Rattus norvegicus: one gene and its partner. The protein of the gene in region 2 purifies or fractionates together with the protein of the main gene of each other region. This does not show direct contact. Links are inferred from orthologs where the notes say so. Each region holds a gene or a part of one and is shown on either strand. Other genes may lie near its edges.

Evidence for each region.
Region 1: the proteins of Cdkn1b (region 2) and Ccne2 purify together in Homo sapiens (co-immunoprecipitation; 5 studies listed by BioGRID and IntAct, with this or other methods). This does not show direct contact. The link is inferred for Rattus norvegicus from reciprocal best matches to the Homo sapiens genes CDKN1B and CCNE2.

Annotation. Positions count from the first base shown.
Region 1 is NC_086023.1:29,081,563-29,086,298, reverse strand, and holds the start of Ccne2 (G1/S-specific cyclin-E2), read right to left. Parts: upstream 2,955-4,736; 5' UTR 2,865-2,954; intron 2,027-2,864; 5' UTR 2,001-2,026; coding exon 1,987-2,000; intron 1,890-1,986; coding exon 1,790-1,889; intron 1,708-1,789; coding exon 1,654-1,707; intron 973-1,653; coding exon 821-972; intron 1-820. UniProt on the Homo sapiens protein: Essential for the control of the cell cycle at the late G1 and early S phase.
Region 2 is NC_086022.1:169,489,987-169,494,709, reverse strand, and holds the start of Cdkn1b (cyclin-dependent kinase inhibitor 1B), read right to left. Parts: upstream 3,207-4,723; 5' UTR 3,170-3,206; exon of another isoform or gene 2,834-3,169; 5' UTR 2,795-2,833; coding exon 2,320-2,794; intron 1,790-2,319; coding exon 1,671-1,789; 3' UTR 1,662-1,670; intron 1-1,661. UniProt on the Homo sapiens protein: Important regulator of cell cycle progression. Inhibits the kinase activity of CDK2 bound to cyclin A, but has little inhibitory activity on CDK2 bound to SPDYA. Involved in G1 arrest. Potent inhibitor of cyclin E- and cyclin A-CDK2 complexes.

The DNA of each region.
Region 1 (4,736 bases), on a different chromosome or scaffold from region 2:
ATTACAAATGGAAAGATTTCCACCTTACTGGTAAATCTCAGGAATGTTACACAATCTGATTTTTTATAATTTATAAAAGCTATGGTTTAAGATAACTGGTTTTGAGGCAGGGTTTCTCTGTGCAACAGCCCTGGCTATCCTGGAACTCTGCAGACCAAGCTGCTCTTGAATTAACAGAGATCTGTCTGTTCTGCCTCCTGAGTGCTAGCATGCATCATTACCACCCAGCAAGATAACTCTTAAAGCAAGGCTAGAAAAATAGATGTATATGTAAACGTAAGCATATGATCACAGTGATCATTATTTCAACACTTGAAAATATAAACAGCATCATTTATAATTTTTAAGGTGGAACTTAGTATCAGGCACAGAGATAGTTTGTCTGACTCCATTAATTTGCTTATTCAAGTCAAATGTCAACTACTATATAAATATTTTCTATAAGCCATACTTCTTAGTCATATCATAACTGATAGTAAACTTGGTAAGAAGTAGGGTTGCTGTTCATTTAAAAGTGTTCTCATTTTAACTAGACAAATTTAAACTACAATTTAAAAAGGAGTTCAGTTCCGCTATGTCTGGAAGCACTTCCCAAACAAGTGAAGTAAAACCCAGGTTTGGGTTTTAACTCTATCACTTGCTATCATTTGCAGATATTGTCTCATGGAGAATGATATATGCTTACTTCTCAGTAAGGGAAATACTAAAACAAACAAACAAACAGTTTCCCTATCTTATAATAAAGTCAAAAGAAAATACACAGCATTATTTTAATTCTACCACTTAAACATTTGGTATAAAGTTACTGAAATTTTTTTACCTTAAGTCTGGCAGAGGTGAGGGATTAATAAAAAGATTTTTAAATCTGTAGTTTGTAAACCTAGAGAAGTCACTTGTTCCTATTTCTTTATGGGGCGTTTCAATGATAATGCAAGGACTGATTCCTCCAGACAGTACAGGTGGCCAACAATTCTGTCATTTCAAAACAGAAAGAGAAAAACCTGTAAGTGCATTAAGAAACCTTGCCTTTGTTCTGCATCCTCAAATGATAGCCAATTTGATGTTCATACTTAATTTTTAAAGCTATATAATTCATATTTGTCTCCATCAGTTAGATAAGGAAGCCTGGTAATACAAGGCATTAAGTACTGAAATAACGAATGCATTTGTAAAGTAAAATAATTTCAAGAGTAGTTGTTCTCGGAATCTAGAATAGGATACTTTATAAAGTGTTTTCTAATACTTGAATGCAAAAACATCAAAAGATCTAGTCAAGTGGAGTCATTTAGAGGAAAATTACCATCTCCAAGTTAGCACATAGGAAGGGACACTGAAGCCTGGGTGCCACACTGACAGTGACCTCACATCCTTTTCATGCCCGCTCAGAGCGATCAGGCCCTCCACTGTAGTTAGAAAGTGAACAAAGAGCAGTATAGAGGCGGGCCCTGGTACACCAGCCAGCTCCAAAAGGGAGGGATGTACAAAAGGGAGCCAGCTGCTTCTAGGCCAACTACCCTGCAGCTGTAGAACTCAGGCTCACATGAACCCCTCCAAGTTCACCTCTAAGATCATTAGACTCTTCCTACTGTAAGGCAGTAACAGACCGTTCTACTCTTACGCTTCCCCAGCCCACCCAGGCCAGTTCTGCATTACCCTAATCTCATACTGATGCTTCTTGGTGATCTCCTCTGTTCTTTTTTTGACATCCTGGAGAATAGAAAAGAAGATGTAAACTAAGGTCTCAAGCAAGGAATATTCTTCCCTTTCTCCCTCTTGTTCCTTACATCACCTGTGCTGTTTTTCTCTTCTTGGCCTGAATTATCTGGGCTTCTTGTGGAGAGTCTGGCTGGTTGGGCCGGGCATGCTGCTGCTTAGCTTGTAAACGGCTACTGTGATGAATTTTAGAAAGGACGTTTAATTAGTAAGTCAGATATTTCAAAAGCAGCAGCAAATTTTGAAACATGTCTCCCAGACTAACAGTGTTACCTGCGTCTTGACATTCTCTTCTTTGAGGCCTATGAAACCTCTAAATGGGGGAGAAGAAAAGTAAAATCAAGAACATAGTCATCCATAATCTTCAAGTTCCAACTAAAACTAACATTACCAGAAGGTGGCCTGAACCTTTAAAAAGAAACACTGCACTATCTTCTGAAATACACTAGTATCTCAGTAACTTTACGTCCATGCTTTCATTTCCTTAGCTGAATGGCCAGTGGGAACGTGAGTGCGTTAAGGAATGTGCAGAGGACCCTAGCACCCTTTAGCCCGATCTTCTGGGTCATTCATGCACTCCCCAGTCCAACTAGGGTGGGAAAGGCTTGTCCTGGACTCAGCCCGCCAGGCGCCTGACCGAGCCTCCAAGAGCGGGCTGTGGAGAAGCCGGTTCCGCGCCAATTTGGAGAGCGGCTGTGGCGGGGAAGCAGGGGGTGGAGGGAACCTTCTGGTGTCACGTCCTCCAGGCTCCTTTCCCTCTTTCCCAGCCCCACCCGGCGGGTAGTGTCGCTTGCAGGGGTGATGGGACCTCAATTTCAAAAGAGCAGAAGGAAATTGGGGGGGGGTGTTAAAGGAGAAAACCGGGCTTACGAATTTCTCCGTGAAGAGACCCACACCTTAATCCTCCCACGCGGGAGACCTTCCCAAAATGAGGATGGACAGAGACGCTCCCAGAGAAGCTTTTCGTGGCCTCTCATTTGGGGATACACTCCATCCCGTGCCTCCCCTTGGCCTCCTGACAGGCACCGACCTCGGGACCCCTTAATTCCAGTCTCCTATCCCTTGTCCCCACTCCATCCCCCATTTTTCCTCTTCCACGGCTCCCGTCAGATGAGGTTCCCTTCGCTCCCCTACACCCCTGTCCCCAATACCTTCTCAGCGCCAGACCCTCCTCAGCTCGGCTCAGCTGGCGCCGGCGCCAACTCAATATATAGGCCTGGCCCGGACCGCCCCGCACGCATGCGCCGCAGACTGACACCTCGGACGGCGCCTTCCCCTCCCCCGCCCGCGCCCGCCCAGCTCGCCCGCGCGCGCCGCGCCCTGCCCTCAGTGCGCGCGGGCGCCGAGTGGCCGCACGGCTGCCCTCCCGGACCGTGCTCCTCCGCCCCTCTCGGCGCTTCACCTGCGCGCGCCGCGGCTGCAGCGTCCGAGAGGCCCCTCCCCCGTGTTAGTGGCCCACCGCGGACGCCCGCAAGCCTTCCAGTTCACGCCCGTTCCCCTCACGATAGCTCTTGGATCTCGGGGTGTCAGGCTGCGGTTCAGCTCGGCTTTTAGGGGGAGGCGACGCTGTCCCGCCCAGGCCTCTGGGGGGACGGGAGGGGGGCACCCAAATCTTCTCAGAGGCTGGGGAGCGGGAGCCGGAGGGCCCGCCCCTGCGGGAGGAGCGAAGCCGCGGCCGAGGAGCTGGCCAATGGCAGGAAAGGACGGCAGCACAACGTGGAGCGGCCGCAGAATGTAAACATTCCGGAGCGCGCCGCCCGCCACGTGCGGAGCCGGAGCCACCCGCCTGGCGACGAGGGCCTGCTCGCCGCGGCCGCACACCGGAAGGCGCCTCAGCCCCTGGACTAGGTACGTGTGAACCCTGTCCTCGCGCCCCGCCGAGCGGCCACTCCGCTCTTGCCTACGGCTCCCTCACGGAGCCCGCGCGGGAAGTTCTTGCGCCGCGCGCAGCCTTTCTCCGCAGACTCCTGGCGCTAACCACCTCTCGAGACTGAAGTGGGAGCCCTCCCCATCCGCAGGAGTGCGGAGTCTTCGGGGACCTGGCCGAAGGGCAGGACGGTCGGCACCACGTGCGCGCCCCGGCCGCGCGCCCCGCCCCGCCCTGCCCTGCCCCGCCGCCAGCGCGCCCTGCGGAGCCCGCGCGAACCGCCTGCGCGGGAGAGCCTCCCGCCTGCGAGCGCGGCCCGGACGTGGCGGACCGCCCCGCGCCGCGCGTGATCCGGGCACTTAAGCTCAGGGCTCCGACTACCTCTCCGCGCCCTGCGCCTCTCCAGGCCGGGTTTGTGGGTGACACTCCTCACACAGTCGGGTGGCGGGACGCCGCTCGGGGAACAAAGACCCCCCCTTCCCCCCCAGGCCGCGAAAGCAGAGGAAGGGCTCCTGGAGGCAGGTGTTCGGGCGTTTGCCCATCCCTGTCCGGAGTGAACCGGTGTGAGGGTGCCAAAGACAGCGGCCGCGGGGGCCGGCGCTTCCCGAGATGCACCTGGAGGCGGCCGGCCGCGGCGGGCCTTTTGTGCCACGCTGTTCTTGAGGGCCTAGGAAGGCCCTCAGCTTTCCTCCCGCACAGCCCCCTTTTCAGACACTTTCCGAGTCTTGGGGGTAGTAGTTCCTTACACTAGCAAAAGCTCGCTTTCCCAGATTTACACATAGGAGACAGGATCAGAGGACACCCAATACCTTGTCTTGGCCTAAGGAAAGTTCGCCCAACCAGTAATTGCTTATCACGACTCTGGAGAGCGAGGGAGTTGCCTCCCTTTGCGGGAGCTGTCATCTTCTACAGCTTAGAGTTCTCACCGGTTATGGCAAGAAAACAGAGGGTTGTACGTGGTTACCTTTCAGTAATGTGTGTTAAATGAGTGTAAGCAAAACTGATGGCCTACAGCCTCAGCTTCGTAGTGAGTTCAAGACCAACCTAGATTATGTGAGGGCACTGTCTTTTTTTTTTTTTTTTTTTTTTTTTTTTTTCTTTTTTTTCTGAAGCTGGGGACCGAACCCAGATGAGGGCACTGTCTTAAAAAAACTAG
Region 2 (4,723 bases):
AAATACCTGGAAATGCAATTATAAAAATACAAAACACCCCACACACACACAAAGTCTATGCAACCTTTCGATTTCTTACTCATATGCAACATATTTGCCTGAGTGCTTTTGACTAGAGCCTTATGGTTTCTTGGCCAATAAATGCCCTTTTTTCTAACAGGCCAGGTAAAAATCCAGGAGGCTCATCTGAAAAGCTAGGCCCCAAGCCACACAGACCAACACAGGTGTGATGGCTATTTAGAAAGAACTTCCATCCAATTTGCCTACTTTATAGAGGGTGTTATACGGAAGGTGGTTCTAATGGCCATTTTCCATCAGCTCTGAACAAAAAAAAAAAAAAATGCTATGTCTGTAGAAGGTATATCATGACGTTATGACTTCTAAACACAACCAATTGGAACCCTATGCCATCTCTATATCCCTTCGCTTATTTTTAAATTTCAATAAATGAGGACCTGGAAAGTTCATAATAAACTGTTAAAATCTATTTATATGCTGGGTTACGAGTGGGCTTTAGAAATAGAGACTGCTGCCTTTGTTCATAACAAGCTTATAAATTATTATATATCGTCGGCTCATATGAATAGTCAATCTATGTAAATTTAGGGGCTGGGTTACTCTAATTAGGCAAGTGGGGTGATGAGATTTTGACACATGGAAAAATCCACACTTGTGCTGGACCTTCTCAGTTGGTCCTAACATCTACCATCCATTTCCCCTATAAACATCCAAACCATCCTGTTCCAGCACAATTAGCATACGGCGCTGACGTGTTAGAGGACTGCTTCCTCTGGCTGCTCATTTAACTTCTGCTTTGTAACCTCAGGGTTAAAATCAGAAATTCTGTGGGAGCGTTAGTACTTCTGAACTTTCCATTCTAATTTTTTTTTTTTAAAGTCCCTTTCTTACTCTCCAAAATTTACCAGCATACAAGGAAAGGCACAACTTTAAAAAAAAAAAAAATTAAAAAAAAAGTACAGGGAGGTGGTGGCAAAATGCCTCTGATCCCAGCATTCAGGAGGCAGAGGCAGAGGCAGCCAGATTTCTGTGAGTTCAAAGCCAGCCTGGTCTACAGAGCAATCTCCAGGGCTGTTTGTTAACACAGAGAAACCCTATTTCGAAAAAAAAAAAAAAAAAAAAAACAAACCCAAAAACCAAAACAAAAGCAGAAGAACACAAGACACTCCTAACCAAACCTGCACTACGTGTACCTGGTTTTTCTTTTAAGAATATAAACGTAATTATATATTTGCCATTTTTCTATGGTTCAAACGGCTCAAAATAGGTTATTGGCTGAAAACGAACCTCTGGGAAATGGGTTCTCATGAAGTGAGAATGGGAAGGAAAATTGTCATTTCCAGCTTAAGTTTTAATGGGATTCAGAAGGATATAACTTTCCCTATCCTTTGGGGCCTTGGTGGCAAGTTCTTGGGACACTCATTCTGGTTCCATTTTAAGGTAAACATCTTGGGATACAAATACTGCATACAGTCCCCTCAAGTGATTCCAGCCTTCCTCAGTGTTAATTTTTTGACCTAGGAAAGTAATTCCTCCTGGCAGGCAAGTAATCTGCCAGCAGTTCTGGGGTCTGCAGCCCCCCCCCCCCGGGGGAGCGCAGCCCAGCTAGGGTGTCAGTTTTGTGCTCTTCCTCATTAACCCACCGGAGCTGTTTACGTCTGGCGTCGAAGGCCGGGCTTCTTGGGCGTCTGCTCCACAGTGCCAGCATTCGGGGAACCGTCTGAAACATTTTCTTCTGTTCTGTTGGCCCTTTTGTTTTGCGAAGAAGAATCTAAGAGGGGGGCAAGGGGAAATTTTTAAAAGAACACACACAAACCATCTTTATTATCGAGAACAATGGCTGACAGAAGTTGGCCCAAGAGTCAGGGGATGATCAACCCACTACCTCCACCCACGACCCCAGGACCCGTCATCCCCGGTAGCCTCTAAGGACACAAAATGAGGTTGTTTCCACTAACACAAGGAGTATTCTACGCCCCACGTCTCTTTTTCTCCCCCTAGCCAAGAAGGAGGCAGTTGGTAAACATCCTAACTTTTGTCACATATCTACAGCTGGCTAGAGGGGAGGAACTGTGACGCGTTAGGCTGGGGAAGTTATCACATCTTACTATCTCCGGCTTCTGACTTCAAAATCATAAACAGGCCAGGCAGTCAGCTGGGGGTATTTCAAACCTAAGCATCAAACAGGCTCGATCTCCCAGAACTAAAGCAGAACACGCAGGAAAAAGCAAGCGAACAGGGTCTAGCAAAGAGGAGCTACGGAGACAGACAGACATTTTAAGTTTTCCAAAGAATCATCACCTTCTGCCGCAGGTCGCTTCCTCATCCCTGGACACTGCTCCGCTAACCCAGCCGGACTGTCTGACGAGTCAGGCATTTGGTCCACCAAATGCCGGTCCTCAGAGTTTGCCTGAGACCCAATTGAAGGCACCGCCTGGCGGCTCCCGCTGACATCCAAGCTCTCCTGCGCCGGCACCTTGCAGGCGCTCTTGGGGGGGCGCGGGGGTCTGTAGTAGAACTCGGGCAAGCTGCCCCTCTCCACCTCCTGCCACTCGTATCTGCCCTCCAGGGGCTTATGATTCTGAAAGTCGAAATTCCACTTGCGCTGGCTCGCTTCTTCCATATCTCGGCAGTGCTTCTCCAAGTCCCGGGTTAGTTCTTCATGATTGACCGGGCCGAAGAGGTTTCTGCAGGCGGAAGGCTTGGGGTGCTCGGTTTGTCTGGCGTCCATCCGCTCCAGGCTCGGGCTCCCGTTAGACACTCTCACGTTTGACATCTTCCTCCCCGGGCGGGTGTGGACCACCGCCTCGCCTCTCTCCGAAAAAAAAAAAAATGAAATGAAATAAACAACAAAACCAAACAAAAGCGAAACGCCCCTGCCGCAGCGCAAACCCCACTTCGAAGTTCTGCGACTGCACACAGAGACGGCCAAGTGGAGTAGAGCCAGGCGAGCGACCGTCCGAGCCGCAAGAGCGCGCAGGTCTTGGGGAGAGAGGCGCAGGGACGCCCCGGCCGCGCAGCTCGAAGCTTCAGTGATCAAGTGTACTGGAGGGCGGGGAAGGGAGGGGAGGAGGCAGGAGGAGGTGGCAAACAGTCGGAGTGTAGGCTGGGGCGAGCCCGTGGGTCCCGCGAACGCAGCCCCTCTCCAAACCTTGCCGCCGCGCAAGTCTCGGAGCCGCGAGTGAGTCGGGACAAGGGATGAGGGGGGAAAAACACCCCGAAAGCACGAGCCCCCCTCCTTTTTTAGTTGCCCAATATGGCGGTGGAAGGGAGGCTGACGAAGAAGAAGATGATTGACAATGCAAGTCTATTTAAACAGAGGAGGAGCTCCATTGGTCTGGGCGCCGGGAGCGGCTCCGCCCAGGCTGGCGAGCGCGCTCTTAAGGTGGCCCCGGGCGCGGCGCCGCCGCCTCTCCGCGCTCCCGAGCGCGCCGCCTCCCCGTACCGCCGCCAGGACATTGGCTGGTCGCGTGACTACTCGGAGGTGTACGACTGCCAACAAACCTGCTCTGGCTGGCCCCGGAGAAATTAAAAATAAGACAAACAAACTAGCCAAACGGCCGGAGAGCTGGGGAGGGGCCAGCGCGGCGGCCAGGCGGAGACCCGGGAATCTAGGTCCGGGCGCTGTAGAGCTGCGCTGGCAGGCGCGCCACCGCTCCGGACTGCGACCTCCAGGTCTTTGCCCGCGAAACCCAGGGCCTGGGCCAGTGAGCTCCGAGGTCGCTGGCTGCTTGTTTGGAGCCTCAGTGGCTAGTTCAACCCACCTGCATTCGCCGAGGTGGGAATGAGGGAGGGTAGGCGAAAGATCCAGGAAACCTTGGCTCGGTGCCTGGGATCCCCCCCCACCCCCACTCCCCGCAGGGTGACTTAGCTAGGTTGCGGGAATCGGCCGCTTAGCCTGACCCCAGAAGTCTCTGCTAAGTAGGACAAGCCGGAGACGGCTTCAAAAAGGAACCAGGACTGACGACTCTTATCAGGGTGTTTCTGAATCCAAGCACTCCCATCTCGAGATTCAAAACCCTCAGTGCTCTCTCAAGCCTCTTCATCTGCTTTATAGCCATCAGACACTAAGTTTTGAAAAAGCCAGCTCTGATTTTTCTTGGTTCCCAAGCACAGTGGGAACCAAGTGCTTTCCAAGTGGGAAAGCCATTGCTATAGGCTGCGTGTGGGAACTCGCCTCTATAGTTTCTATACTCTGCAGTTCTTCTCCCCCAGAGCTGAAGCCGTTTCCTCCACCTGAGTCCAGACGCCAACTACAACAGCTCCTTCCTTCCTCCCCTTTTCTCTCCCACCAGCCTGTTGCTTCCAACCTACTCAGAACAATATTCAAATACAAGCAAATACTTTTAGAGAGCTGCAGGCTCTTGAAGGGCGAAAATGCTTTCCTAAGGGTCCAAGACTAGATTTGCAAGTGATTTATAATACTACCACCCAGGGATTACCAACACCTACTAATATTGTTTGGGTATTTTCTTTAGCTCCTTGGGCAACTTCACGTTTCTCTGTCAATGCTGAGCACAGTGGTAGAAAGTTAAAACAGTGATAGAAGTTAAAATAGGTGGGCCTGTCGTGACTCAGAGTTCAGTGAGATTTTTAAGAGCTTTACCCACTAGGATTCCCAAACAATCTTGGTTTGTGCTAAACACAATGCATCTTATTGGAAATAAAATTCCTGTTTTAGTGTCCCATAGAAGCATAGTTTTCT